Linked DNA regions of Pelodiscus sinensis. The protein of the gene in region 1 interacts with the protein of each later gene in a pairwise test. Links are inferred from orthologs where the notes say so. Each region holds a gene or a part of one and is shown on either strand. Other genes may lie near its edges.

The links.
Region 2: the proteins of XRN2 (region 1) and TARDBP interact in binary tests that used the Homo sapiens proteins (3 or more experiments, as listed by UniProt). The link is inferred for Pelodiscus sinensis from reciprocal best matches to the Homo sapiens genes XRN2 and TARDBP.

What each region holds. Positions count from the first base shown.
Region 1 is NC_134713.1:195,829,916-195,846,014, forward strand, and holds the start of XRN2 (5'-3' exoribonuclease 2), read left to right. Parts: upstream 1-8,485; 5' UTR 8,486-8,796; coding exon 8,797-8,871; intron 8,872-16,099. UniProt on the Homo sapiens protein: Possesses 5'->3' exoribonuclease activity. May promote the termination of transcription by RNA polymerase II.
Region 2 is NC_134733.1:11,712,380-11,728,225, reverse strand, and holds the start of TARDBP (TAR DNA-binding protein 43), read left to right. Parts: upstream 1-10,077; 5' UTR 10,078-10,216; intron 10,217-11,040; 5' UTR 11,041-11,055; coding exon 11,056-11,293; intron 11,294-12,542; coding exon 12,543-12,706; intron 12,707-13,685; coding exon 13,686-13,826; intron 13,827-15,846. UniProt on the Homo sapiens protein: RNA-binding protein that is involved in various steps of RNA biogenesis and processing.

The DNA.
Region 1 (16,099 bases):
GCTGAGTCAAATGCTGAGATGGCAGGGCAGTCAGCCTGGATTTGTAAAAATCAAATCATGTCACACCAACCTGATAGCTTTGTTTGATAGGATAAGGGGGAAGTGGTAGATATGGTATACCTAGACTTTAGTAAAGAATTTGATACAGTCTCCCATGACTTTCTCATTAATAATACAATCTAGATAAGGTTACTATAAGGTGAATGCATAACTGGTTGGATAACTGTTTTCCGAGAAAAACACAACAAATGGTCTGATAGCACTTTATAGACTAACAAAACATGTAGATGGTATCATGAGCTTTCATGGACGGAGCCCACTTCTTCAGATGACCGGTCTACATGTTTTGCTAGTGCTACCAGACTATTTGTTGTTTTTTTCTGTAACAGACTAATTCAGCTACCCCCTGAAGCTTCTGTTTTCAGAGAGTAGTTATCAATGGTTCACAGTTATGCTGGAAGGGTATAACAAGTGGTGTTCAGGGATCACTTTTGGGACTGGTTCTGTTCAACATCTCCATCAATGATTTAGATCAGGGTTACTCAACTTCGGAAGCCCAGGGGCTATAATGATACAGCACATGCGAAGGGCCGCAACTTAAGTGTGATTTGCATATACATGCAAATATATATGCAAAGAGCTTCTTTCATACTGATGGGGAATGAATACAAAGATTAAGACAAGAATACCTCCCATGCAAACCCCATGTAAGTCAGTTCTGTTGCTATTAATAAATCGCAGTATTTACCCGATTTCCACTCATTTGACAGCACGTTTAATGAGCAATGACAACCCAGGAATTTAGCTACTAAAACACATATCAGAAGAGCATTATATTGACTACTTTTTTGTTTTGGCTCCCACCCGCGGGCCGCAAACAAATGAGCCGCATGTTCAATAAACCTGATTTAGATGATGGTATAGGGAAGATGCTTATGAAGTTTGCAGATAATGCCAAGATGGGAGGGGTTCTAAATGCTTTGAAGGATAGGCTTATAACGCAAAATTATCTATTCAAACTGGAGCAATTGTCTGCATGTGTTTAGCCTGGAAAATAAAAGACTGAGAGGGGACATAACAGCTTTCAAGCACCTAAAATACTGTTACAAGGAAAGGGAGAAAAAATTATTCTCCTTGATCTCAGATAAGACAAGAGGCAATGGGCTTAAATTGCAGCAAGAGAGGTTTAGGTTGGACGTTAGGAAAAAACTTCCTGTCACGGTAGTTAAACACTGGAATAAACTGCCTAAGAAGTTTGTGGAATCTCCATCATTGGCGATATCTAAGAGCAGGAATGGTCTAGATAAGCGGTCACCAGTCAAGACAGATTTGGATCTATTGATAAATCCTGAAGCTTCTGACATGCGATCTTGACTGATCTGACTGGGGAAGGCTAATCAAATGCCGGCAATTCACCTGCCCCCCCCACCACCATCATGCTGCTCCTGTTCTCTGTGTGGGATTGTCAGCCGATGGTCAGGGCAGTGCGTGGTATGTGTGTTATACACTCGAGTCTTCAACTGCTAGGATCGAGATCCCTTCACAGCGGGCAGCCTAGGGAAGTCTGACGGGCGCCCCCAAGAGTTTGCAGGGAGAGTGTGTCACATCCAAGTCTTTAGCTGCTAGGATCGGGGTCCCTTCGCAGCGGGCAGCCTAGGGAAGGCTGACAGATGCCCCAAAGGATCTGTCTCGTGGAGGCAACATGATCCAAATGCATCTGCCCCATGACCAGCTGGAGTTCTTTTGTGTTTGGCTCTGTTACAGCAACAGGAGGAGTCAAGTTAAAACTTCAACAGTTAGGCTATGTCTACACTGGCGGCTTCTTGCGCAAGAAGTCTTGTGCAAGAAAACGTTAACACTGCCATCGGCGAGCTGTGCTTTTGCCCAAAAGCATCCATGGCAGTGTAGTATTTTGCGCAAGAAAGCTCTGATGGCCATTTTAGCCACAGGGCTTTCTTGCGCAAGAAATCCCTGCCAAGCGTCTACACTGCCCTCTTGCGCAAGAACTCCTGCACAAGAGGGCTTACACCTGTTAAAAAAGAGCGTAGCTCTTGCACAAGGAGCCCTCTCTTACCATGCCGTACTGTAAATTTACTTGCGCAAGAGCGGGCGGGCAGTGTGGATGCTCTGCAGATTCTTGTGCAAGAACGGCTGTACTTGCGCAAGTTTTCCGTTAAAAGCATTTTCGGAACAGAGCATCTAGATTGGCACGGACGCTTTTCTGCAAAAGCACTTTTTGCGGAAAAGCGTTCGTGCCAATCTAGACGCACTTTTCTGCAAAAAAGCCCTGATCGCCGTTTTCGCGATTGGGGCTTTTTTGCGGAAAACAAATCTGAGCTGTCTACGCTGGCCCTTTTGCACAAAGGTTTTGCGCAAAAGGGACTTTTGCCTGAACGGGAGCAGAATAGTATTTCCGCAAGAAGCACTCATTTCTTACAGTAGGAAGTCAGTGCTTTTTCGGAAATTCAAGCGGCCAGTGTAGACAGCTGGCAAGTTTTTCCGGAAATGCGGCTGATTTTCCGGAAAATCTGGCCAGTCTAGACACAGCCAGTTTGTATTATGGGTAGGGCTGGGGGAGGCTACCACACACACACCTTGGAGACAGTGCTGGGGGGTAATCAGGGAGCTAACCCAAGGCAGAAATAAGCAAAGGTAGGTTCTTCATGCTCAGGGCAGGTGGTAGAAAGGGGTGTTAGAACCTAACTGTGTCTACATTGGCACGATCTTGCGCCAAAGCAGCTGCTCGCGCAAAAACATGCTGCCTGTCTACCCTGGCGGGGAGTTCTTGCGCAAAAACACTGATGTTTTAATGTGTGAAATCAGTGCTTCTTGTGCAAGAACTATGATGCTCCCGCTCAGGAATAAGCCCTCTTGCGCAACTGTTCTTGACAATTTTTAGAATAGTCAACACCTTTTTTTAAAACATAGCACTGAGATAATATCCTGCAAATATTTACACTTGTGCGTAACTTTACATGCTCAAATTATGGCATTGGCTTTAGGTGGTGAAATCTTGGCCCCTCTAAAGTCCGTGGCAAACCACCTAGGTTGGATGTGGAATAAACATTTTTACCATTCTTGTCTTTGGGGGTTTTGCTAGTAGGAGTGGATTTCTACTGTCCTTGTTGCTTCTCTGGTAGGTTACCATTTATTTCAGGAGTCTATATTTTTTTAGTTCATTGGCGCAAAAGCTCGTATCTGGCACAACAGCACAGGATCTTTTACACAGATGATGTGTAGGTCTCGTTCCTTTAGGTATATTTTTATTTGGCAAGCACTGTGGAATGGACATTTCCTTAGAGGGATTTCATAAAATAGATTTCTGCACGTGGTAGGTTAACTTTTTCCATGAAGTGTTTATTGAGGACTTAAATAATGTGTGAAGCTAGCAAAGACAAACAATTTCAACCATAATTTAAGCCAGTAAGAAAAGGAGATGATTAGTATTGTTTTTATTATCAGAAAGACTACCAAATGCTCACACACTGTTCATATTAAGTCACCTCTCTAGGTGGTAAGTACTGTAGAATAATGTCTAGGAGAAGTAGTGCTTGAACATTGCTGCAGTCAGGGTACATTTTTGAAGGAACAGATAAAAGCCAATCTTTTCCTTATACAATAAATGTAGCACCCCTCTGAGGTTATTGAGAACTTATTCAAGTCACAGAGATATTGTATGTGGTTTAATAACACAATTAAATGAAGATAAGAATGAGAAGTACAAAATTGGCTTAACTTATTTTACTGTAAAGACAAGGTTCTTTCCTTCCCCCTCCAATACTCTTTTTTACATCCTCACCAATGTCATTGCCACAACGTAGGTGGAATATTGTCACAAAGACACAGTAAAGTATAAAACCTTGATCACAGTAGCCCCATTTAATATCTGAAGATTTAATTCAGTTTTAACACTCTCATATGGCTAATTTAATTTTATTTGCTTATGCAATGCATACATGAGGTGGCAAAGTTTTATTTATTGCTGCTCATTGTATTTGTCACAAATCATGCCTTCTAATTTCCCAGATTGTGTTTCTGATGAAGTTGTATCAGATCAGTTATGTACTTCCACCATTATATAATCATTATGACTTTTCTTAAAGACTTCCACCTTTGCTTGCTTTGTGTATCACCACAAGAGGCAACATATCCACAATCTATTCTGAAGGGGAAAAATAATCTCCTCTCCTAGGCTGTGTCTAGACTGGCCAATTTTTCCAGAAAATCAGCCGCTTTTCCAGAAAAACTTGCCAGCTGTCTACACTGGCTGCTTGAATTTCCGCAAAAGCACTGATGATCTCATGTAAGATTGTCAGTGTTCTTGTGCAAATACTATGCTGCTCCTGTCTGGGCAAAAGTCCTTTTGCGCAAAAGGGCCAGTGTAGACAGCTCAGATTTGTTTTCCGCAAAAGAGCCCTGATCGCAAAAATGGCAATCGGGGCTTTTTTGCAGAAAAGCGCGTCTAGATTGGCACGGATGCTTTTCCGCAAAAAGTGCTTTTGCAGAAAAGCATCCGTGCCAATCTAGACGTTCTGTTCCAAAAATGCTTTTAACAGAAAACTTTTCCGTTAAAAGTATTTCCGGAAACTCATGCCAGTCTAGATGTAGCCTTTGTGTTTCAAACCTGTCTCTTTATTGTACAGACACATAATTTCTATGGAATAAGGGGGGGGGGGATCTTAAATTTTGGTAAAACCTTGCTTAATTTTTTTATGTATCTGTTTTCTGGATTAAGTGTGTCAGTCACAACTAGAGAAGATTTTTTATAAAGTTTATAAATGCAGTTAATTTATCAATGCATTTAAAAATGCTACTAAAGCAAGACTGTCAGTTACCAATGTCCACTAAGTAAGGGGTAGTGCCTAAATTGAGTTGCAATTGGGTTCTTGGTTCCCCATTTGCTGTCTATTGGTCCTATATTGCCACTTGTTAGTACAGTATCTGATCAACTTCCACGTGAAATCAATAGCACTAGAGCCCTAAATGACTTCATGAAGGCTGTCTACACTGGGCCACTTATTCCAGAAAATCAGCCGCTTTTCCGGAATAAGCTGCGAGCTGTTTACACTGGCCCTTGAATTTCCGGAAAAGCAACGATGCTCTACTGTACAAAATCAGCCGCTATTCCGGAAAAACTATTCTGCTCCCGCTCGGGCATAAGTCCTTATTCCGGAACACTGTTCCTGAAAAGGGCCAATGTAGACAGCCCAGTAGTCTTTTCCAGAATAAAGCCCCAATCGCGAAAATGGCGATCGGGGCTCTTTTCCGGAAAAGCACGTCTACATTGGCCACAGACGCTTTTCTGGAAAAAGGGCTTTTCCGGAAAAGCAGCCTGCCAATGTAGATGCTCCTTTTCTGGAAAAACTGAAAACTGAATAGTATTCCGTTTTAAGCATTTCCGGAAATTCATGCCAGTGTAGACACAGCTGAAGTGTCTAGAATTTTTTTCAGAGTAAAAATTCTGTTTGGGGTAAGGTATCTTGTGTTTGCTTAGGTGAGTTGTAGAGGTTTAGAAATAGAGGATGAAAGTAATCTGCTTCAGTGGGGAAGTATTCTGCTATTGATTAATACCGGTGGGTATCAGGAAGGAATTTTCCGTCAAGCCAAACTGGCAGCGACCTTAAGAGGTTTTTCACCTTCCTCTGAAGAATGTAGAGAGGCAGGTTATGTGCTGCTACCTACAATGAAGGTAATCTGGAGACGGGGAAAGCACTACTGTATGCTCCTGCACTTCTCTGCACTCGTATGCAGAGAGCAACAATCCTGACCTTAAAAAAATGCTATTGTTTTAAAGTAGTCTTCTTTCTTCTTTGTAAATTCATATATTCAAAACAAGCTTGTTCTGAAAATCATTGATTACATTTAAGAAAAGAAAGATTGTATAAAATAATAGTGATGCCTATATTAAGAATAATGCTAACGAGTCATAATCCCAATCCTAGATCCCAAGATCTGGGCACTTTTAAGTTACCATAATCAATAAAGCAATGCCTCCCCAAATGTTGGTGAACTGTAATGGCTACACTGGAAAACAGACGTGGTTGGTGAGGTACAATACAAGCTGAGTTATCCAGCACTTGAATATTCAGAGTTGGTTAACTGGCACCTGTCATAGATGGCAATACAATTACTCCTTCAGTTAACCAGAAATTTGCATTTGCAGAAGTCAAGTTTGCATTAGTAAAGTTTGTTCACACTTTGTACTTCTGCATATAATACCACTATCTGATATTATCTAACCCATCCTGGAACTATGGCCAGTGTATGGTAAAAAATTCATGAACCATAGTGTAAAGCTGAAGTAACTGGCACATTTGATTAACCGACAACCCCCAGTTTCCCATGAACTAGAGATGTTAAATATCAGTTAATTGAATAGTCAAGTAACCTCATGAATTCTTATCAGTTACTCGACTAGTCTATAGTGGAGCCGACAGCCAGTGAGGATCCGACCTGCCACTGAGAAGACCTTTGCCACTCCACGCTTCTGTCTCTAGTAGTGTTGCCAACCCACAGAAATTTCATTTATGGACAAAATGGGGAAAAAATTTATGGACATAATTTTTATACTACATTAAGACGACAAATAGCCAAACGTGAAAGTAATTGTCCTTTATACATCACAAGTACAATATGCTATTTAACTCACTTTCATTTAGTTAGTCATGGTCCTGAAAGTTTTTCACTGAGCTAAATAAACAACTAAAACGTTCAATTTCTGCTGCTCCACAGTAAAATGGCTGAAGCAGCACAGAAGAAATTTAATTGCTATAGAATCATTGGTTTTTGAAATTTTATTGCACTTTTACAAAATTTATGGATACCTACTGTTTTTTACAGACATGTCCAATTCCAGCTAATTTTTTACTGACTGTAAATTTGTGACAGTTAGCAACCCTGGTCTCTATCTCACAGGCATCAGCGCAGGGTGCCAGGAGGGAGCTGATCCATGAGGGGGCCAGTTTAAAAACCAGCCCCCCTTATGGACTGGCTGCCTGTTGCTCCGTATTGCTGCTTCTGGTACCGAAACTGAGCCAGGCTGCCTGCCTAGCTCCTAATACACTTTAAATGCAGAGCCACAGTTGGGATAGGTCCCTGACCAAGCTGGGCTGCAGGCCAGACTTATAAAAAATTTACTGGCAAAGGTGTGGGGGGAAAAATACGTGTAGTCTATCGCATTAACTGATAATCGATTACAACACTATTATACTGTTACCATGAACTCCGAGAAACAGAGCTTGTACTGTGGTATATTTTATCAGACCAACTTGTATGCCTGCAGTGCTCTTGTTCAGGTCTGAGAAAGGTGCTGAGAGCGTCTCAGATGAAAGCAAGGCGGAAAGGTAACTCACCAAGCTCCCTTCTTGTCCTGTCGTCGCGGCTGATGGGCCCCTCTCCGGCTATGTCTACACTCGCGGCTTCTTGCGCAAGAATCTATTGCCCACCCGCTCTTGCACAAGGAAATGTACAGTACGGCGCGGTGAGAGAAGGCTTCTTGCTCAAGCCCTACGCTCTTTATCAGGTGTAAGCCCGTCTGTGCAGGCGGCAGTGTGGACGCTCGGCTGGGATGTCTTGCGCAAGCGAGCGGCCGCACTGCCAGGCACGCTCTTGCGCAAAAGCACAGCGCACAGGGCCGCGCGGACGTGTTCTTGCGCAAGCGAGCGGCCGCACTGCCAGGCACGCTCGTGCGCAAAAGCACAGTGCACAGGGCTGCGCGGACATGTTCTTGCGCAAGACGCCGCCAGTGTAGACGTGGCCCACCCAGCCGACGGGCTCCCAGGTGCTGGGCAGACCCCTTGAGAGTGACGGGCTGCTGGGGGCAGCCCCATAGCCCGGGCCGGGCGCCAGGCTCGCAGGGGAGGTCAAGCAGAGCGCCCAGGCTGGCGGGGGGCAGGAGCCGGAGAGCGCTGCCTGAGGGAGCCAGGCTTGGCCTAGGCAGGGGGGTTGATTTGCGGGGCTGCAGGAGGGCGGGGGCCTGAGCCGGGGAGGGGGGGTTGCTCGTGTAACAGACGCAGGTGCGGCGGCGGGGCCTGGGGCCTGGTCCGCCCCGAGCGCGGGCCTGGGAGCAAGGCCCGGCCACTGAGCGCCGCCGCGCGCCAGCCCAGGCCTCGCGCGCCAGCAGCCACTCGCCACCCGCAGCGGTTAACGGCCCAACCGCCACTGGGGGGAGCTGCCTAGCCCCGCCCCCGCCCTCTGGGCCGGGGAGAGGCAACTTGGCCTCGACCTCGGCGCCTGCGCAGCCCACCCCACCTCTCCCCTCCCGAGCTGCGCGCGCGCGCCCCCGCCCCCTGGCTTCAGGCAGCAGCGCTCGAGCCCACCTGAGGGTATCGCCAGAGCTGCGGCTTCAGCAGAGGTCACTGGGCATGCGCGCTCTTTGCGGGCATGCGCGGTAGCGCCCCCCTGTCAGGCCGTCTCCAACAGGCTGAGCCGAGGGGGAGCGGCCGCCGGAGCCGGGTGTGGAAAGGGGGAAGGCCAGTCTCGGGGTGCGGGCGGGCTATTTAAGAGCCGGGCGAGCTTCTCTCCTTCCCGTCCCGGCAGGGAACGAGGCGAAGGCTGGCCCCGCCCCCGCAGCGTGTCTGAGGGCCGGCAGGGAGCGAGCTCGCCCTGCGCAGGCCCAGATATGGCCACCCGGAGTCACGTGACTTACCCCGTTCCCCCACCGCTTCTTTCCCCTCGGCTCCCCCCGCGCTTCCTTTCCCAGCGTTCCGCGCGCCGCCCTCTGCCCCCGGAAGTCCGGTTCCGCCGCTGCCTGGGTTCCAACTGCGCGGGGCCGCTTCTGCATCCCCACGCGGGGCCATGGGAGTCCCGGCCTTCTTCCGCTGGCTCAGCCGCAAGTACCCCTCCATCATCGTGCACAGCGTGGAGGAGAAGGTGAGGCCCGCCCCGCCCGCCCCGGGGACCAGGTCCCCTCCCCCGCGTCTTCCCCCCCCCCGGCCTGGGGACCAGCCCCCCCCATTCTACTCCCCCTTCCCATTGTCCCGGGCCAGCGGCCCCCCTCCCTCGCGGGGCCTCCCTCCCCCTTCTGCTCCCAGCCTGGCACCGCGTCTAGCAACGGCGGAGCGGGCCGCATCCGAAACACGCGCGGGGGGGGAATCAGCTCCCCGCTCCCCCCCCCAAACTCCTCCAGTTTTGTTTCTCCCTCCTCCCCGCTGCTGGGCTGGGGATCGGCTCCTGTCTCGCTGCCGCCTCCCCTCCCGTCCTGACTCTACTCGACCACTTTGCTCCCTGCATTGCGGGGCGCAGGCTCCGTGGAACACAAAGTCCCGGTTCCCGTTTGTTCCACTTAGGCTGGGTAACTACACACGGGGCTTCATGTAACCGGGCAGACTCCTTGGTAGAGCAGGGAGCCCCCTCTTCCCCCGGGTTTGGAGCTCTGGCCTCATCTTTAGCTGTACCTGGGATGAGCCTGCTGAGGGAGGGAATACAGCTAGTAGCCACCCTGTGAGCCTCAGCAACCGCAGAGCTGGGGCTCCTTTGACTTTTTTGCAGTGTGTTTGTGTGTGTGATGGATGTGGCCCCACTCAGGGTGGTCTTCCACTCACTTTGCTAGGCACAGTACAGGCATTCAACAAAGACACGTCTTCTCACTTGTGAACAAACCCAAAGCACTAAGAAATTGTACAGATTTGTGATATTATGTGTTGTGCTAAGGTGTACGATTAGTTACATTTTGATATTATGGCGAATTGATTTATATCTAGCAAATGTGGCTGTGCCTTATTTATGCTGTGACTCTGTGCAAGTAATCACAGTGAAGAAGCTGAATAGTGTTGTCATCCAACTGCCAGCACCTGCCTCTTTTAGTCTTTAAATTGAAGCTCAAAGCTTTCTTGTCACGTGGCTGCTGCTGTTTTCAGAACATTTGGAAACTGTGCCTTTTACGTACTGTTTCTCATCATATTTTCTGCAAAACTCAAGAGAACTGAACTTTTTTGCTCCTAATCTAAAGTTAGTATCAAGTAACTGTTGGCATTCCTTTTCCTGCACCCTCCCAGGATTGCTCATTTTGTGTAGCACAGAAGCTAGCACTTCCTATTTGTTATAAACACTTTGTCTGTTTATGCCATTGCCTTTTATTGGCACTCTCATTAATGACAACTCAACATTAGCTACCAGGAAATCATTATTGCTTAATGACTGCCTGGGTGATGTGATAGCTGAAACTGAATCTGGAGGTCTTTAGCAGTCTGGTCATTAATGGCCATGAAATGCCTGACCTGAAGGTCACTGTTGCTGCTATTCAACTTAGGAAAAATGTGAAAAATAAATACTGTTGAAAAGTTGAATGGCCTAATGCTATGGAGAGAGTGTTTTGTTTACAGTGCTGATTTCTTCTGGGCTGTTAGGCTGAACAGTAACCAATGGAAATAGTCCATACGATTTATGATAGCAAACGGCAGAGATCACAAAGGTTCTATCTTAGTGTGTTTAAATCCTATAACTACGAACACTTCTCAGCTGCAGAGTTTTAGGTTTTAAAGTAACAAACTTAAATGTACTTTTACAGTATTGGTCATACACAAATATTAGTGCTTGTCAGAATGGTTTGCAAGTAAACTTGTGTAGATAGTTTAAGGATGGAAAATGGTATAATGGGAAAGTTTGTTTGGGGAAGAGTGGTCAGAGATGTATTTTGGTCACTTAATCTTTTCTCCTGTATAATCCTGAAATCACTTAATCATGTTTACATTCTCTATTTCCTTGATTTTTATTTTTTATTTTATTTTTTATTGAGAGGTGTAATTATACTCTAACTAGAGATGTGGACAAGTAACTGGTTATCTAGTCAACATCATCCTTACTGGGTGATGCTTACTGGATAACAGTTATCTGGCTCCCCGGGAGCAGCCCCTCACCTGTGGCATACTGCTCTAGCCACACAGGGCTGGTGCTGGGAGCTAGGGCTGGCGCTGGGAGCCGGCCCTGGCAGCCAGCCTGCATAGGGCTAGGAGTAGGAGACCCACGGGCTTGAGGGATGCTCCAGCTGGCCTGGAGCGGTGCTTCCACCGAGGATCCCGTTAGTTAAACATTTGGTCGGTTAACTGACTATTTAAGTGGTATTTTACATGCCTAACTCCCATCTCTTGTTCATTCTGCTATTTAATTGTTAGTTAGGAATTTGTAAGTGATTACAAATCACTATTTTAATGGAGGAGGTGCTGGGGTCTGGGAAGGAGGTTGGGTGCAGAAGGGAGCTCGGGTAGAGGATTGAGGTGCAGGATGTAAGAGTAGTCGATTACCTCATAAGCCTAGGTTTATTGGGTAGTTGAGTTGACTACTTGCTTTTCCCCCCATCCTTGCTGCCTCTGTATCCAAGGCAGCAAGGGGGGGCGGAACAGGAGCCAGTGCTGGGGGAAGCCGACTTAAAAGCAGGTGCTTCCTTGCACCATCTCCGATGCTGCCTGTTAGAGGCAGCAGTGGGGAGGGTGTAGGGGAGGCTGCCAGGGAGCAGCCGGTAACTGCAGTGGGCCCAGGCTCGCCATGGGCAGAGGCTACTCTGGTAGCTACTCTGGTAGCAGCCTCTGTTCATGGGGATCCCAGTGGGGAGCTGGGGCCCCCCATGGACGGGGCTGCTGGACCCGATATGAGCCGGGACTGAGCAATCCCAGCTCAGTCCTGGTTTGCACGGGGTCTGGGAGATTATCCCCACTTTGGCTCTGCAGTTTAAATGTAGTTGTGACCAGGGGCAGGGGTGCAGAGGTTTTGGGTTGTAACTTAGGACAGGGAGTTGTGGGGGGAAAGGAGGGAGCGGGGTGCCAAGTGCAAGCTCTGGCTGGGAAATGCTTACCATAATCTGCTCCCCTCCTGCAATGCAGCAAGACCCTCATGCAGACTCCCTACCTGCTGTGCCCCCACACGCCACTCAAAATGGCAACTGCTGGGGCCACATGCACATCTGTGTTGTGCGCCCAGGGGGCTTTGCACATGCATTATTATCGTGCCCCCTCTGTCTTTTCTCCAGATTAAACAAACCCATCTTTTCCTGTCTTTCCTCGGGGTCATGTTTTTGAGACCGTCAGTGATTTTTTGTTGTTGCTCTTCTCTGGGTTTTCTCCAGTTTGGCTAGATCAGGGGTCGGCATCCTTTTTAACCCTCCTACCCTGGACCATGCCACCCTCCTGGGAGGGAGATGAGGCTTTCTCCACCGTGTGCCCCGTGGACCACCTGGGTCAATGCAAATCTTTCTGCTGACTACCAGTTGCTAATGGAAACTCACTGTTAATTACATAATTATGCCCAAGCCATTTTGCTAATGCTGCAGCTGGGGAAAATGGTTTAATTTCAATTATTAAACAGATTAAGCGTTTTAGCTTTCTCATGTTTGTTTATCAAACTTCGTTTTAAATTAAAATATTCTTTTCAACACAACAGGTTTCAATGTTTTCTCTATTTATGGCGGGGTAGGGAACCTGTTTTGGGCCACAGAAAAATCGGTTGGGGACCACACAAGTGAGAAGCGAAAAAACTCCTCCCCAAACTCCCAACCTTCACTGATGTGGCTCCCAACTGAGACACCTCACTCCTCTGGCAGTCCAGCCCCCACGGGGTGAGGGGAAGGGACTGGAAGGACTGAGATTCAGGGCTTCCCATAGGCCAGATTTATTTTCCTGGGGTTCCAGAGTTAGTGAATTTTGTGGCCCCCCCTTAGGCTCTGGGGTGGGGACAAAAATGAGTGGTTCAGTGTGTGGGACAGGGCTGCCAGCGAGTGGGATAGGGATGTAGGGTGTGGTGATGAGGGCAGGATCTGGAAGGGAATTGGGAGCAGGAGAGAGTGTGGGACGGAAGGGGGTTGGGGGAGTAAACCAGGGAATGTAGAAGGGTGAGAATACAGCCAAATAGTTAGTTGGGGAGGGAGGCAAAGAAGTGGGGAGTAAAGGAAAGTGCAGCTTCTGCAATGTAAAATAGTAATCCCCCCTCCTCACATCTTCCCTCTGCTCCAGACTCGCTCCCCTCAGCCCCATTATATCCCTCCAGCCTAATCCCCTCAGCCCCATTATATCCCTCCAGCCTAATCCCCTGTATTGCCTATGTCCCTCAGTGCAACCCCTGCTCCCTTCCATCCTGCCCCCACAGCCTGATCCCCTGCATTGCTCCATGCTCCCTCAGTCCAACCCCTGCTCCCTTGCATCCTGCCCCCCACAGCCTGATCCCCTGCATTGCTCCATGCTCCCTCAGTCCAACCCCTGTCCCCTCCTATCTTGCCTGTGCAGCCTCCTTCACTCCCCATCCTGCTCCCAAATCACTGTGCCCCCAGTGCACTCACCAGCAGTGCTGAGGCGGGGTGGGGGGTGGCAGAATCTCTTCCCTGCCCAGATCAGCCCTTTGCCTGCAGGCTGTGGCTCTGGAGCTGGGACAGGCAGAGCCTGGGGCTGCCCAGGGTTGGCTCCAGCCCAGCCAGGCACAGAGGGGTGCTGGGGAAGGGTCTCCCGGTGTACCACATGTGCCAGCTGCCCAGCCCCGGCTCTGCGGAGCAGGCCCAGCCCTACCCCCTCCCGAAGCAAGAAGCCCGTAGCCAGGAGGCAGGGGTTAACCACTTAGCTCCTGGGAGCTGCATGCCCAGGATCGGCAGGGGCAGCCCCAGGAATGTGTGCGTATCTCCCCACGCACATCCCCAGCAGGAAGCCTGAGCTAGCGCTCCAGCCTGTAGCTGTGAGGCTGGGGCCACAGCCTGAGGTCCTGGCTGTGCTGGGGGGAGGGGTGGGGCTGAGCTCCAGCCCATGTGCCACGGGAAGTCGGCGTGCGTGCGTGCCGGGGGTTGCTGACCCCAGTCTAGATGTTTCCTGAACTGCGATGCCCAGAATTGGGCGCAGTACTGCAGTGGCAGTCGAATTGGCACGGATAATAACAGAAGAACGACTTCTTGTGTCCTGCTTACAATACTCCTGCTAATAAATCCCAGATGATGATGATTTGCAATACTGTTACTCCGGTTGTCTCCTTTAGCTTATGAGCAGCTGTGACTCCCAGTCCTTTTCTGCAGGACTCCTTCTGAGGCAGTCATCTCCCCACGACAGACAGGTATAATAGGTGGGGGAAGGCACTGCCTTCCCAAACCGCCAAGCTGGCCCACCCTTTCTCTGCCCCCAGAACGCCTGCGGTAGCATATTGGGGGAAAGGGGAAGGAGTGTTGCTGCCCCCCGAGCATCTGCCCTCCCTATGTTCCGGGGCCAGGGAGACTGGAGCCACCTGTCCTCCCCATGGTGCTGGGGTGGGAAGGTGGCTTGGCTCCCTTCTGGGCAAGGCCTGTGCAGAAGGGGTGGGGTTGAGGGCTTGCCCTGTCTTCACACACCGCACATGCATTTCCCATTTTCTGTTTGTGCAAGTGATTGGTCTAAGTGGAGTGCTTTGCCTTTGTTCTTACTGAATTTCATTCTGTTTGCTTCAGACCATTTCTGCAGTGTGTCCAGATCCTTTTAAATGTTATACCTCTTATGGACTCAAAGTAAATTTGCCATAAACTAAGGATTAGATCCCATTGTTCTTACATAAAATGAATAAATCCTGTTTTCCATTGGACATTACATAAGGTAAATTTATTGTATACATTTGAGTTGAATCTTATGGAAGCGTCTCTCTTTTTGAAATGTTAACAAGTAGATCCTTCCTTTTCCTCTTTAAGAAGACAGAGGAAAAACTGCTAATCTTAAATCAAGCAGGAAGACTAAGAGGAAGAGCTTGAAGATACTAGAAAATCCTGGGGAAAATATTAATCAAATCCACATAACCTAATAAAACGGTAGCTACAATAACATAACTGGAGATCTATTTTAATTGTTTCAAAAGAGGTTCTATGAACAGTTTAGTTCAGCCAACAGCTTGCAAGCCGCATGCGGCTCTTGCCCCCCAAAATTGTGGCTTACGATGCCGCTCCTGTCCCCGCAGCCCCAAATGGCCCCTGTCGACTCCCCCGGCTTCCCTGTGCTTACTGGGTTGGAGCTGTGGGGTTTTAAAAATGGTGCCCAAAATGGCGGCTGTCTTAAAGGGGCAGCCTCCTTTTAATTAAAAAAAAATTTTTTATGTTTTTGCTCGACAATTCTGTTGTGGGGGCCTTTTTTTCCCCTTGACAATTCTGGTGCAGCTCTTCACATTTTTTCCACCGCTGTTTTGGCACGCTCTGTTAGATGGGTTGGCCACCTCTGGTTTAGTTATATCATGAGACAACATTCACCGATGCTTCAATCCATTGCAAGACTATTTTTCATTGACAATTTGACAGCATATTGGTTATGTGACCATTTAAGGGCAAAGTTATAAACCAATCTGCTTTAGAAAATCTTCAAAAAGAGCCTGAATATAAGCAAAATACAGTATTAAAGGTGAAGCAAAATATCAGCTGAGGGCAATTTTATGTTCCATACCATGTAGTTTGTAAGCCTTTTGCGCATGAATCAGTTAGCTGTAGTGAGAGGTCTGACTGAAAGAGCAAATAGAATTGAAGAGGACAACTATCTTGTCCCATTATTCATTCTGAGTATATACTGGTTTAAGTGAAATTCCCAATTGACTAGAAAAATGGTGCTGTAAATCTTTGTTCAAAGTTAACCACAGTTGTTTTATGCTAATAGACCTTGTCAAAACTATCCAATGGTTTTTGTTTAATTCTCTGTCACATAATCTTATTTTGTGATTAGTCAAATAATCTGAGATGTACCTTGACTGATCTGGGTGCATAATAGAAGGGAGCATCAGAGAAAGAAAACTTAGTTTAAAAAAGGCTGAAATTTTATTAATTTGATTATTTTTGTAAACATTGATTCTTGCTTCAAGGGAAAATACTGGCACAATTCCTTGTTTTCATGAATATGGATTATCTGTAAGAGATGTGAAGCAAGATTTTTTTTTTTTTTTTTTGGTATTTAAAATTGGAGTACAAGTTCTTCGGGACTTGGATCATGATGGGTGGTAATTTCTGGTTTCAGTTCACTTTTTGAATTGAACTGCCCATAAAATTGTCCTCAGCTGATACTTTGCTTCACCTTCAGTACTGTATTTTGCTTATATTAAGGCTCTTACTGAAGATTTTCTAAAGCAGGTTGGTTTATAATGTTATCCTTAAATGCTCAAATGACCAATATTCCAATGTGAAGTCTTATCCAGA
Region 2 (15,846 bases), on another chromosome or scaffold:
AGTAGTTAACACAAATGTCAAGGGAACATGCAAGGTGAAGTGGCCAATTAGCCTTCTCCCCAAGAACTAATCCACCTCCCAGACAAGTTGTAGCTAGGGTGATGGAAGAATTCTAGCACTATCTACGTGGGGGGTTAGGTCAGCATAGTTAGTGACCGGTCTAAATTACTAACACTGCATTGGCACAGTTGCCTGGATGCAGCTCTGCCACTCTAGCATTTTGATGAAGATGCTGTAAGATGGGAGAGAGCTCTCCCATAGGTTTAGTTACTTCATCTCTGCAACAGGAGATAGCTAAATCAGCAGGAGAAGCTCTCTCACTGACATAACACTGTCTGCACAGATGGTTAAGATTAATATAACTATTTTGCTCTTGGATGTGGATTTTTCAAACCCCGAGCAACATAGTTATACCAAAATAAGCATGTAGTCATTTGGGGCATGTCTACAGAGCTGCGATATTTCAGAACAACAGACGTTATTCTGAAATAATGTATTGCGTGTCTACACAGCAAGCCCATTATTTCAAAATAAATTTGAAATAACAGGCATCTTACTCCAACTTCTGTAAACCTCATTGTATGAGGAGTAAGGGAAGTCAGAGGAAGAGTGCTCTATTTCAAAATAAGTGCTGTGTAGATGTGCCCAAATTCAAAATCAGCTATTTCAACTTAAGCTATACAATTAGCGTAGCTCAAGTTGCACAGCTTATTTCAAGTGTAGCCCTGCTGTGTGGATATGTCCAATCTGTTAGGGGTGTGAATTTCTCACCCCCGAGATGTATAGGTATACCTATTTAAGTTTCTAGCATAGACCAGCCTAGTTTTGCCTAAAAAATCAGGCCTGGTCTACACAACTGTGACAGACCGGGCCGTGTCCAGGCACCGCTGAGGGCGTCCGCTCAGGGCGAATTGCTCAAATCTGGGGCTCCTTACAGCCCCCAGACTGGTGACCTCTCCAAACAGGCCACAAACCAGTCCCACAGAGTGCTTCAGCAGCCTGCCTGAAGCCTCATGAGCAAAACCCCTCCAACACCCCAGCAATATCCATGCCCCAGATGGCCCCAGACCTCATACACAGGTGGGGGGTCCTAGCACCCAATCCCACCTACCCTGAACAAGTTCTGTCCGGTTCCAGGAAACCAGCCACAGATCTCTGGTCAATTTACCCTTTGGACCTTACCCACAAATCATGCTGGGCCAATCCTTTAGCATCTAACAACTAAAGGTTTATTAACACAAGAAAGAAAAGTATGAGAGTAAGGTTATTAAAGTATAGTACGTTACATGCACCGAATCTCCCAGTTCTCGATGCAGGCTCTAGCAGAGATGTTACAGCTGCTGGTTTAAAAATTCTTATTGCGCATCCTAAGATCAGGATGGGTGCACAGGTCTTTCGGGCTCTTCAATCCCTGCAATGCTGCCTCTGGGATGAAGTGCTGAGCTGAAGACAAAATGGCATCGACCACATGGCCTCTTTATACCTCCTTCCTGGCCTCTTCTTGTATGCAGCCGGTCACCTGGCCCTCAGCCTCTCTCTGCTGGCAGCTCTTAGGTCTCCGCCCTCATGCTTTAGGTGTGTCCTTGGCCCATCGAGTGCCATTGTCCCACAGGGCCTCACTAATCAGCCTGTCCATAGCAATGCTCAACCACATTCAGAGAAATATTCAGCTTCCACACAGATTACAGATTCCTACCTACACACACAGACATTATACACTCACATAAATAGCGTACACAGCATCAGCAAACAACAAGCTCCCATTCAATACCCCACATGGCCCCCTTCTATACCATTGTTGGGGCCAGCACCCCCACCTATGGGTGCAGCCATGATCCAGCTGCTTCCCTCAAATTCCAGTAACGTGACAACAAGGAAAACAATATCCCTGACTGACACTGTTAAACTGATCTAACCAAGGGTAGACAGCACTTGCATTCTCCCATTGTCAGAGCTACTTCTTTTCAGGGAGGTGAATCCCTCCTATCAATAGGTCATGTCTTCACTGAAATGCTACAGGGAAACAGCTTTAAGCAAAGATAAGACCTCAGTGACTACTGAATTTTGTCCATAACAAAATACTGTAAGCTATCCCAAGAGAGGGAATTAAGAGGGTGTAAATATAGGTGCAAAGAGACAATTTTGGCTTCTCAGGTACATTGCCTGGATAGAGTTTGACCAAATAGATTTCAGTTTCCTGTATCATTTATTCCCAAGCAGCCAAGTGTGCTTTACTGCTCTATCATTAATTTACAGAATAAAGCACCGAGAGCCAAACTGCACTGAACAACGTAGGTTATCCTACTTACTTCCGTGCTGTACCTGGGTGCTGATGAGAAACTGAACTCTCCAAAATGTAAAATAAAAAAATTCAGGCAATAATTTATAACACCCTTAATTGTATCTATTTTAGAGTTTCATATTAACCCCCCATCCTGGTGGTATCAGAGGGTCTCCCTGGTTAATTATATTAGCCTACAGTGGGATTATATCACCTTGCTACCCAGACTACAGAAGGGTCATCACAGAGCAGAACTGACCCAAAATTGGGATTGTGACGGAGAGTCAGCCCCTTTCTGCCTGCTAATTCCTTGGCCACCAGCCTGAGAAGACAAATAGCTGCAGGATTTGGACTTGTGTGTCTGTGCAAGGGAGCTCAGGAGCGAATCTCTAGTGGGCTTCATGGAATCTTGATCTCTTCTCCTTTCTTTGGCTATAAGAAGCTCTTCTAACGGGAAGGTAAGAAAATGGTAACAAAAAAAACATTGACCATATTTTTTGAACATGTATTTTTCAACTTCAACCAATAGCTAAGAAGCGCTGATGATCTCATCTCTCCAAGGAATAGCACCTCCCTTTCAAAGCCATGGCTCCAAAGGCTCCAATCTCTCCACATAACAGTTTGATTCCATAAACAACAGAAAGGAATAACTGAACTGCCTCCAGGCAGCTGCTTGTCCCCTTAACTAGTAACACTCAGCATGTGCTGTACTCAAGGCATGGGGCAAAGGAAGGTTGTGCTGATGCATATAAGAGTGAGCAAAAACTTGGCAATTTCACTTGCGATGTAGGCTGCTTCCTGATGCAGTCCCAATGGCTCTACACTAATGAATGCCTTATTATTCCTCTTACAATTATTTGTAATGGGCCGCAGCTTAGTGCTTCTAGGATGCCCCCTACAGGCTGTTCTGCAGAGTCTAAAATATGGCTACCCTTCATAGAGCCAAAATGAGTTGGCTATTTAGTGTGAGAAGATGACTAAAGCAGGATAAAAGAAGCTACAGTACTTTGTGCGGGGTGGTTCATGAAGTATTTACAGACATCAGTCTTACTTCTGATACCAACTACACCAATGTCATTCCACTGAATCTTCCTGCTTTATACTGGCCTGTAATCAGAAACAGGCTACAATGGTCTGTGTTTTTGAAGTGTCCAGAGCTAAGTTCTTTAGCACAAGGTTATATTTAGATGCCACAGATGTTCCTTTGCACTGGTGGGCACTCGTTGAGAGGGCCAGTGGCTAATCATTATACTGAGTTTGGGCATGCCCCTGGGTACACTTAGCCCAGGGCAACAAACAGTTATTGTATTGGATTATGTTCTGGGCCAGTGGGCACACTTAACTGAACACACATGATGGCTACTATCACTGCATTGCCTTTGTCTGTCTACACTGATGGGAACGCTGAACTGCTGGTGTGGAGGAACCAGTGAATTAAATATCTGCATGCCCACTGGTGCAGTTAGCAAATGCTACTACTAATTGTCTTACCTGAAACTTAATATAAGTTCAAAGTACAGCAAGGAAAGTGCTATGAAAATCACTATTGTCACTGAAAAATTCATAGATGAATTTGAAAATGGTCAATTCTAAGCTTGTATGTTGCCAGAACTAAGGAACCAGCTTTGGGGAATAACTGCCCTTTTTCTGACTATTTTACTGCTCAAGACTCTGAATCAGATAGTTCACTCACCACTCTCTCCAAGCTGCTTACCTGTGTGAAATCTAGCCCACAGTTGGTGCTTACTCTGCTCATTAGTGAAGTTATCACCAGATGCTTTGTTAGCAAGAGGTCACTTTGGCTAAATGCCATGGAAACCTCTTGAAATAGTCTGACTGCTAACCTATACATTTCACTTGACATGGTGCAGACTGGTAATGCTGACAGCCTGCAATCACAGCCCAGTACTTACAGCATGTACAAACAACACTGATTGACTCAATGCCAGCTTGGCGACGTCAAAACAGGATTTAGGATGCACATTGAGCATGGATAGAAAATGTGGACTCTTGGTATAATGGCTACCTGGAAAGCAAATTCAGTCCTTTAAGCTAACTATACAAAACACGGTCCTTTCACTTCAGTGCCAGGATATGCTAATAAACTTTGAAATGGCTGACTCTAATGTTAAATCAATATAGATGGCTTGGTTTTCAGAGGTGATGAGAACCCATAGTTCCTATTGATTTCAGTGGGAACCAAGAGTGCTCAGAACCTCTAAAAAATCAGGCCAAGAGACAGAATTCACTATTCCCTCAAGGAAGTGATGCTTCCAGAGCTGAGATCCAGTGTTGGTTTAGCTCCAGTCTGACTGGCATTAGAAACTGAATCCCCTCTGCCTTCAAGTGAGGCTAGCTTGGGTGCAAGTGTAGGGAACCCTTCATTTTTTGCAAGGCTTTTGACATAGTCCCACATGACATTCTCATAAGCAAACGGGAAACATATGGTCTAGACCAGGTGTCTCAAACTCCTGGCCTGTGGGCCATCCACCGCCAGAGCAATTGCACAATCCGGATCAGGAGTCCCAATGGGCTGGGGGTGCGAGTCTTGTCCATTACCATCCCCCAAGCCTTTCCCCTTTCCACCAATGGCACCTCATCACATACAACAGCAGCTGGCCCCCCTCTGCATTCCCTGTGGTGGCAGGAGCCTCAGGGAAGCTGAGTGAATGCGCTCCACTCAGAGAGTTCAGGTGCTGCCCACTGCTGCTGCCATCCCACACCAAACCCCCCTCCCGGAGATCCCCGAAACCACATCCTTGGGAGACAGGGTGCCCTGGGGGCAAGAGGGTGGGATGATGGTGGGACTTAGGGAATGGTAATGAACAGGCTCCCCTACCTCCGGGTCTCCTGGGATAGACTATGCAGTTGCTTCAGCCAAGGGAAACCCCTGGTTTAGATCAGTGGTGCTCAACCTTTTTTAATTCGCAACACACACACACACACACACACACCCCCCCACACACACACACACCCACCCAGTGCTGGAAAAATTTTGGTTGAGGAAAAAAAATTTTTTTGTTGTGGCCCCTTTAATTTAAAGCACCGGTCTGCTCCCGTCACTCCTCCTGCCCCTGCTGTGCATACGTCGGGTGCCAAACTGGGAAAACAAAATGGCGGCCGGCCCAGTGCTGTGACCCCCCCAGGAAGACAGGAGACATCCACAGGCTGCACACTGCTGGTCTAGATTGTTATAAGATACACACACAACTGATTGAAAGACCATACTCACAGAGCATTTATGAGTTGTTCACTGTCAAACTAGGAGAGTGTATCTAGTGGGATCCCTAAGGTGTCAGTTCTGGACCAGGCACTATTCAGTATTTTCACTAATGAATTGGATAAGGGAGTGGGGAGTATGCTTATAAACTTTGCAAATGGCACCAACCTGTGAGGGGCTGCAAGTACTTTGGAGGCCAAGACTGGTACTGAAAATTACCTTGACAAATTGGAGAACTGCTCTGAAATCAACAAGATAAAATTCAATAAAGATAAGTTCAAATCTCTTCACTTAGGATGGAAAATGCACAACTACAATATGGGGAATAACTAGCTAGGCAATAGTAGTATTGCTGAAAAGATTTGGGGATTATAATGCTTCACAAATGAGTCAACCTGATGCAGCAATGAAAAAGGCTAATATTCTGGGGTATATTAACAGGAGTGTTGTATGGAGGTAACTGTCTCCCTTTACTCAGCATGGGTGAGGTCTCAGTTGTAGTACTGTGTCCAATTTTGGCTGCTATGCTTCAGGGAAGATGTGGATAAACTGAAGAGAATGCAAATGAGAGCAATGAAAATGATAAGTTTAGAAAACCTGACCAGTGAGAAAACTGGGCATGTTCAATCTTGAGAAAAAAAAGACTAAAGAGGGATCTAATAATTGTTTCAATATGTCAAGGGCTCTTATAAAGAGGACGGTGATCAATTGTTTTCTGTGTTCATGGAAGATAGGACAAGAAGCAATTAACTTAATCTACAGCTTAGATATTTGGAAAAACTTGCTCCTCTAAAGGTAATTACATTGTGGAATACCCATCATTGGAGGATAGACCAGGGATGGTCTACTTGGTCCTACCAGCGTGCAGGTGGCTGAACATGATGACTTCTCAATGCACCTTCCAGCCCTATTTTACCAAAAGCACAACTGAATATTGAAATGGAACTGTACTTTCTCCCCAGAATAGGATGGTACAGCCATCCGTTTTAAGTTACACAGAGAGTTGCATGGGGAAGATACATTGAAAGTTTTCTCTCCACTTGTCTTGTAAAGAAGACAACAGCCAGAACTATTTAGAGTCCTTCTTACAAACCTCCCAAATGACTGCATTATATGGCTTCCTGTTCGTATACATTTGAAATGAAAAATGATTGCATTACAGATGTCTGGCATATGATTTGCAGCTAGGGTAACTGTTTTATAAGACTGATGGACTAATTATTGAGTTTATCATTTTATTCTGATCTTTTAATAATAATGTACAGAAATGTGGAAGGGCAATTATCCAGGCACATAAAAAGCGATTAAAATGTGTAAAAGCTATTAATGTGTTGTAGTATCAGTGCAAAGTATAAAATGTGAGTGTTTAATGGGTCTGGAGGGCTACCCTATAGGAAACAGAAGATTGCTGTCCTTAATGGAGCCATAGCAGGTGGGAATGGGAACATTTTTAACAATAATTGCTTCTCCCTCTTCTTGTGCTTCTTGGAAATCCAGAGTTGTATAATGGGGATGGAAAAAAAACAACACACCATTCAATGTTGTCATGCAGTCAGCAGTCCCTTAAATGACTGCAAGAATTAGAGTGATCCTGAACAGTTAGGATAGGCAGCACAGGCTGTGTTAACAAGGGAGAACTACAGGTACCATATATGTGATAAATGTGTAGTTTCTCTGTCATGATTTATCAACACTATGCGTAAGACCTGAGCAGTGGGGTGTTTTCTGTTGACCTGTATGGGAACATCTACACAGCAGGGCTAAAGCCAAAATAAGCTATGCAACTGGAGCTACATCAATTACATAGCTCAAGTCAAAATAGCTTATTTCAGCTTTTGGCGCTGTCTACACAGCAGGAAGTTCAAGTTAAAGCATTCTTCCTCTGACTTCCCTTATTCTTCGTAAAATGAGGGTTACAGGAGTCAGAGTAAAAAGTCCTACAACTTGACATTATAGGTCTTTCAACATTATGTAGAAATAACTGCTTGCTGTGTAGAACGTGAACCATGTTATTTTGGAATAACGTTAGTTATTCAAAAATAATGTCGCTGTGTTGACAGTCTAAGAGTTTAACTCAACAGGAGGCTCTCTGGGAAAACATGTCAGAAGGAAAAGAATAGGTCGAGATAGCCACCTCTCAGCAAACACTGAAGACCTATTATGGGACAATGCAAGAACTATTATTAGCTTTGGTGATTTTGCCTCCTCTCCAGCCAATCTACCCAAATGGTTCTTACCAGGACAGGATAAGACCCACAAACACAGGACAAACAAAAGAACTGTCAGAATCAAAAGGGACCCTCTCTAAATTCCATCCCAGCAAGGTAAAGGCAAAAGACCTAACATGTGAGAGAGACCAGAAAAGGGACAGAGGTGCAGACTGTCCTATAATCTGATCATAGGCATCCAGTAGTCTCAATACAGAATCCCTTCTATGTGCATTGCTAGTGAGTCTTGTGTCTTCTCTATAAGAGTCAATACAAACATCTTTTGCCACAAAGAAATTCATGAAGCAGAACCTCACAACCTCTTGTAGAAAGAACGACAACATCTGAAGAGTTCTACACTACTAGCAGCTACAGTTCTAGCCTCTCCTTACCACTTTCCCCACAACATAGCAGTGAGGAAATGAGAAAGACGTATCGGTGAATGGGAATTCAGCGCTCAAATGAGATTCCTTCTTACTCAGAAATAGAATAGTTTACCTCCCAACCTATGCAAAGCTCCAGGGAACCACAAGCTGATGATTCCATGAAGAACTCATCTGCACATTAACCTGTCCAGATTTCGGTCTAGTTTAGCCAATTCTTTTTAAAATCAAGAGGGAAGGGCCACAGTAAAAACAGAGAACGAGAAAAATCCTCACAAGATACAAAAGGAGGGCATATGAATAACAAGGTGCCTGAGGTTTCAAAATTAGTGCCACTAACATTACTGTATAACATTACAGAAGGTGCTGTTCAAATAAATGCCTGCATACAGCATGTTAGGTGTATCTCAAAGGGTTAAGAGAAGTAGATCTTGCTCAGCATAAAACAATGGGGATTCTTGCCTGGGATCAGACTGCATGACAAGGCTATTAGAAGTACTAGTTTTCGAACAAGATATCAAACTAAAGTGACAATGGAAAATCCCACACCATATTATTTAAATAAAGGAGACATGCCCTACCTACATTTCCCCTCTCATAAAACAGTATTGAATGTGCATATCTGTCTGAGAGTCATTGCTGAGCAAACAATGATTAGCAGGTTTGCCTGTGCAGTCATCACAATACCAGTAACTATTGCATTCACCTTGAGAATGAAATGAGCTACAAGTAAACCAATTTTTATTTTAGAAATACAGATTATGCAGTGCCATTTATCAACCCTAGACTCAAATCTGTCAACCATTGTGTAAGAATTATGATGTCAATCTAACATGTGGGACCTTTCTTTTTCTGGGCTGGAATGAGATGAAATGCAATATGCATTTAGACAGTATCCACGTGAGTAGCTTTGGCTCTCTTGAAAGACTCAGACCAAACTGAGCTCTGAGCTCCTGTCTCAAAGTACAACCTATCTTTAAGCAGGAAACTGTTGTCACACTTATCTCATACATATATTAACACTTTGTCTAATAGCTTTACAGTTATTTCAGTCATCCAAAAAAAAAATCCCTCCACAAAACGCTCGGCAAAAGAGTTTTGAAAGCTGCATAACTTGTTTACTTGATTCTTCATTGCAATCCAAGCAAAAGGCTTCATTCACCCTTGTCTCCTTTGATGCATTTAACTCACCTTTCCTGCCCCTTCATATGTTCTGAGATCCTGCCTGCCTAGAATCCTAGAACTGAAAGGAACCTCGAGTAGGGATGTAAAGAGTTAACCGGTTACCTGGTAAGCATTGCCTTATCTGCATGCTTACCAGAGTAACCAGTTAACTGGTGCCTGGCCTGACAGGAGCAGCCCCTACCTGTGGCACATCATTTAGTTGAGCCCTGAATGGAAAGCGCTGCATGATGGAAGATCCCTAGTAGTTGGACTTCAAATTGCCTTTATATTTTCACAGAATTGGGTTTTACCTGTAACAAACTTAACACTGTAAGAGAACCAAGAGACGTGTGTTCATTATTTTAAATACTGTCAGCGCAGGAGAAACCTAACAACTATGCAAATACAGTAGAATCAACAGCCCCATGAAAGAACTAGGCAGTTATGATGGATGCCTCTTCCACAAGGAGCTTCGACTGGAGCAGCGGGCACGCAACGCTCCCTTAGCCGTTCAACGTCCTTCAAGGGGAACAGCGCCAAGGCCTTCCCCGCACTCACCTCACCTCTCCTCCTCCTCCCCCTCCCCATCTCGCCTCTGCCTCAGCCTTACGCATGCGCGCTGCTGGTAGGCCGGATCATACCATTCCTCTAGGGTGTGTGTGAGGGCAATCCCAGATTTGCTTCTGTCCCTGTCAGGAGGTACGGCTCCGCACATCCCGAGCGAGGTACACTGAGGACGGTGTGAGAGCTTCTTTACGCAGATCCAAGCAGGCCACGTTCCCGGCGTTTGCTCTTTTCCGTTCATTTCCAGCTTCCCCCCTCCGAGGGAAGAATAGTTCGCCCCCAGACCGGTCTCTGCCTCTGGGGGCCGGTAGGGCCGCCATTTTGTCAGCGGCGGCTGTAGGAAGGTGGAGGTGTCTGTAACCCTTTCGCCCCGTGTAAGGCCCCCTTCCCCAGCCCGGTGAGCAGAGCAGAGTTAGAGGCAATGGCGTTCCCAGTCCCAACCGCGGCTGGGCCTGTCGGAGCGGGTCGGGAGCCGCGGGGAGTTAGGCCCAGCCCGGAGCTCGAGAGCGGCTGGGCCTGACGGGGCGGGCAGAAGCGCGCGCGGAAGGGCTGGGTGGCGAGGCCTAGCTGCCCGCGGGAGGGGGTGGTGGTTATAAACTAGGCCTCATTTAGGGGTAGCGTATCGGCAGGCCATCTAGTCTGGTCCTCACCCCTTTCTCCGGGTAATGGTTTGGTCCTGACTCCCTTCCTCTGTGGCCTGACCTCTGCTCCCTGTCTCCCCAGTGTGACCAGGACATTTACCCCCCTCCACCTGAGAAATGGTTGGGCCTCTGCCCTCGCATTGTCTGATCCTTGCTCCCCTTCGCTTTACCCCCCACCCCCCGCCCCACTCTACTTTGGTCTGGTCCTTGGCTTTCCCCCTTCTTTTTCGCTTCCCAGCAGTACCTGTTGGCTCATCCCTTCTACCCCGTCCCACTCAGGGGTGCGCCTCGCCTCGCCCCCTCAGTGGGGTGATTGGTGAGATCAATGCAAATTGTAAGCAAACCCTTTATTCACACCCTTTCCTTTCCCAGCATTCCGCTTACATGTCACCTTGCACTTCGTTGTGAGAACGTAACACACACAAAGCTTAGAGAAGATAAAATGCAACCTCACTTGATAGTTTCCTTATGCCTAGCAAAAAAAGTATTGTCGGTGTTTTGCAGAGAAGCTAGGATTAAAAATAAAATTGGAGTAAAAAAATTGCTGATCTCCTCCCTGCTTTTTTTGTTACTCTATTAGTAAAATCCAGCAAAGATGTCCGAATACATCCGTGTTACTGAGGATGAGAACGATGAGCCCATTGAGATCCCCTCAGAGGATGATGGCACTGTGCTGCTATCCACAGTTACTGCCCAGTTCCCTGGAGCATGTGGCCTGCGTTACAGGAATCCAGTGTCTCAGTGTATGAGAGGAGTCCGGCTAGTGGAAGGAATTCTGCATGCCCCAGATGCTGGCTGGGGAAATCTGGTCTATGTTGTTAATTATCCCAAAGGTTTGTTTTTGTTCCATGAATATTTGGTACAGCCATGCTTTCTTAATTACAAGGAATTTTACATCAAGAGCTAGAGATTCCTTATTTTTTGTTTTCCTCTTGTCAAACCATAGCACAACTACAAATTAGTCCTTTTCACATGAATGTGTGTGCCTGACCCACAGAGTGATTTTGAGCGTTCTCATTCATGAGAGTATTATTTAGTATAATTCTACAAGGTGCTTTACTAATAAAACTTTACCTTACTTTTTGTAAGACTTTTAACAATCTCACAGAGTTATCAAAGGTCCTATCCTACAGTGAGTTTTGTGCAGAGCTAAGGTTTGCCCACGTGAAATTGCATGATTAGAACCAATGACATCAGTGTTGTAAGAGAAGGTGTGGGAAAGGTGAAAGATGACCAAAAAAAGAAAAAAAAGAGTAAGGAGAGCATTTTTCCGTTTTCATTTGAGTAGCCATTTTTCAAAGTATATATAATGCATACAAAATCTGGTCAGGCATGTGAATGTTATTTGGCAGTACTTCAATGGAAAACATGCTGAAAGTGTGTTTTTAGATGCATTTGTGTCTGCCTGTCTTCTGAACTTCTATCCCAATACTGTAGGGCAGTTGGATGTGTATTATAACATAATAATAAATATGTATCTTTCCCTATTAGCTTCCATGATACATCCTGAAAGGATCTATCCAGTGATGGGCAGCCTATGGGCTGCATATGGCCCACTGGGATTTCACCTGAGGCCTGCATGTCCCCTATCTGCCCCCTTCCCCATGCCTCTTGCACACTGGGGCACTGGAGCCTATCTCTTCTTTCACCGCCACCTCCCTCCCAGCACTTTTGTAGCGCCATGAATCTGCTGATTCACACTCCATCCCTGCTCCTTCCCCTCCCTCTCAGAACTTGAATGCTATGAATCAGCTGTTCATGGCTGTTCAAGATGGAGGAGGAACAGGGACTGAGCATGAATTCAGTGGATTCCTGATGCTCCAAAAGTGTTTAGAGGGAGGGGGAAGAATAGGATGTATGGGGGGTCCAGTTCTCCACTGTGTGTGAGGCATTCAGGAAGGAGGCAGAAAGCGAGTGCGAGGGCCGCAAGTTGCCCACTACTGGCAATCATGCAGCCCACTCACTAGTCTTGGTTGTTCTTCACTGATCTGATCCTAGTACTATGCTGCTTCTGACCAATGAAAGCAGCTTTCCTTCATGTGTTGTGGAGATAGATGACAGTTTCTGATGTGTATCATTTAGATAACAAGAGAAAAATGGATGAAACGGATGCCTCATCAGCTGTGAAAGTAAAACGAGCTGTACAAAAGACATCCGATTTAATAGTTTTGGGTCTTCCTTGGAAAACCACTGAACAAGATTTGAAGGAATATTTTAGTACGTTTGGAGAAGTTCTCATGGTTCAGGTAAACTCTGTTGCACTTGCCTCTCCACTTAAGTCAGAATTTGAATTCCGTTAACTTAAACGTTTTTCTATTTGAGCCAGTACAAAGCAATTTGGGTAGTATAAAGAGTACATCTTTAACTACTGTAACATTAAAATTTGCTTTACACTATTTGCAGTGTGCTATTTTTTCTTGGGGATATCTTGGTATGTGTTCAGGTAGTTGACCCATATCAAGACTTGTTTCTGAAAAGGGAATAATTCTGTTGTAACAGTGTAAATGAGACAGAATATGGCCCGCTGTGTGATGATTGGGTTTTGTGCTTACATGTTAATTTATTATTACTATTATGGTAGTTGTAGTGTTTTTGAAGACTGAATTTTAAGTTTCATCAATATGTTTTATGTTTAAAGATTTGTTTTATATTAAGATTGGATTAGCACTTTGCCACCATGCATCAAACCCATGCTCTTTTGAACACTTTTTCTGGAATTCACATAGTCTTTTTTCCTATGAACCCATCAAATGCTTTTGTGTACTAAAAAAAGCATCCGGGGTGGGGCTCAGGATGAGAGCTTCAGCTTTGGGGTCAGGATTCGGGCAAGAGGGGCTTACCTTGAGTAGCTCCTGGTTAGCGGTGCATCAGGGATGCTAAGGCAGGCTTTTTGCCTGTCCTGGAACCGGAAACCTTGCTTCACCCCGGAAGCAGCCAGCAGCAGGTTCTAGCTAGTGGGAGTGTGGAGCTAGTGCTCAGGGTAGGAGCAGTGCATGGAGCCCTGTGGGCTCGTCTGACCCCCATCCTCACCTAGGAGCTGGACCTGCTGCTCACTGCTTCTGGGGCACAGTGCAGTCTGCAGTGAAAGGAGGCAGAAAGCCTGCCTTAGCAACCCAACTAATGAACCTGCAGCAATGAGACCCAGTGCCTGACATTCTGCGACCCATAGTTTGAAAACTACAGATCAAGATAATCTTTTTCTCTCTCTTCCCCTCTTCATCTTAGGTTAAGAAAGACATTAAAACTGGTCATTCAAAGGGATTTGGTTTTGTTCGATTTACGGAGTATGAAACCCAGGTGAAAGTGATGTCTCAACGTCACATGATAGATGGAAGATGGTGTGACTGTAAACTTCCTAATTCGAAGGTACCGTTCCTTACATTATTTTAGTGTTTATAGAAACAAACGTGCACTCTTTTAAAGAGTTCTGTTGACTGAAGAAGGGATTAGATGTATGGGAAAATGAAGGGGTGGACTTTGGGCCTGTGTCTAGACTAGCCACTTTTGCCAGCTGTCTACACTGGCCGCTTGAATTTCCGCAAAAGCACTGATAATCTCATGTAAGATTGTCAGTGCTTTTGCAGAAATACTATGCTGCTCCCGTTAGGGCAAAAGTCTTTTTCCGAAAAACTTTTGCGCAAAAGGGCCAGCGTAGACAGCAGAGATTTGTTTTCCACAAAAAAGCCCCGATCGTGAAAATGGCGATCGGGGCTATTTTGCGGAAAAGCGCGTCTAGATTGGCCACAGACGCTTTTCCGCAAAAAGTGCTTTTGCAGAAAAGCATCCTGCCAATCTAGACATGCATTTCCGGAATATCATGCCAGTGTAGACGTAGCCTAAAGGAATTGTTAGGTCAGAAGACAAAAGGAAGGAGTGGAGCCTGGAGGTTAGGTGGGTTGATGCTGATGTGAAGAGATTGAAGGAAAGGTAGGATGGAGGTTTGAGAAAACAACTAGTTAGCACAAGGGAGATATCCAGTCTGAAAACTATAGAAACCAGCCTGATAACATCATAAATATCTTAACAGTTCCTGTTTAAACTGCTTCAAATACTGTTCCTGTTTTGAAGAAGGGAGGCTAGTAAGACACAGAGGATAGGTGACTTGCCCAAGGCCAGACTGGGTCAATAGTAGAGCCAAGAGTAGACCACAACCCTTTTAACCAGGCCTTGCTATATATGTGAGGATTATATATTTTTCAAGTGAAGAATTTACAGCACAAGGAATGGTCTGCCTATCTTCCTGCTCTCCATTTTTAACACACATGCCGTTGGCACCACCCATAGGAGATGCTCTTTGAACAGGATGTTCTAAATAAATCTTCAGTCATCAAAAGAGCTTTAGCTTATGGGTTGTAGATATGGCTGTGGTCAGTATGTAGTGCTGTTTCCATTATTGTCAGCACTGCTGGAACTGCACCACTACCGAAGCAAAGACGGGAGATTTCCCTAAAATTTCCAGTGTAAATAAGGCCTGAGGATAAGGTTGATTCTATCCACTTAGGAATTCCAAGTTCATCCTTGCCATCTTTTTCTCAGGGGGGTACAGTTTTTAATTACGTTATCTCATAGTGTGTACAGCAACTGGAGGGTTGCTTTTCTTTGGCTCTTTCTGTAACTGATATACACCTGGATAACCCTTGTTAATTGTTTCTTTTGTGATAGAAAACTTCATAAGGATAGGAGGATAGGGTCATAATTCAAAATGATCTGGAGAAATAGTCTGAGGTAAATAGGTTGAAGTTTAATAAGGAGAAATACAAAGTATTCCACTTAGGAAGGAACAATCCGTTTCACACATACAGAATGGGAAGGGACTGTCTAGGAAGGAGTACTGCAGACAGGGATCTTAGGGGTCATAGTGGACCACAAGCTAAATATGAGCCAACAGTGTGACACTTGCAAAAACCAACATGATTCTGGGATGCATTCATAGGAGTGTTGTGAGCAAGACATGAGAAATTATTTTGCTCTACTCTGCACTGATTAGGCCTCAGTTGGAGTACTATGTCTCATTCTGGGCACCACATTTCAGGAAAGATGTGGAAAAATTGGAGAAGGTCCGGAGATGAGCAACAAAAATGATTAAAGGTTTAGAAAACATGAGCTATGAGGCAAGGCTGAAGGAATGGGGCTTGTTTAGTTTGGAAAAGAGAAGACTAAGAGGGGACATGATAGTGGTTTCCAGGTATCTAAAAGGGTTTCACAGGAAGGGGGGGGTGTGAATTGTTCTCCTTGAACTCTGAGGGTAGGACAAGAAGCAATCGGCTTAAACTGCAACAAGGGAGGTTTAGGTTGGACATTAGGAAAAACTTCCTAACTGTCACGGTGGTTAAACACTGGAATAAATTGCCTAGGGAAGGGAGGTTGTAGAATCTCCATCACTGGA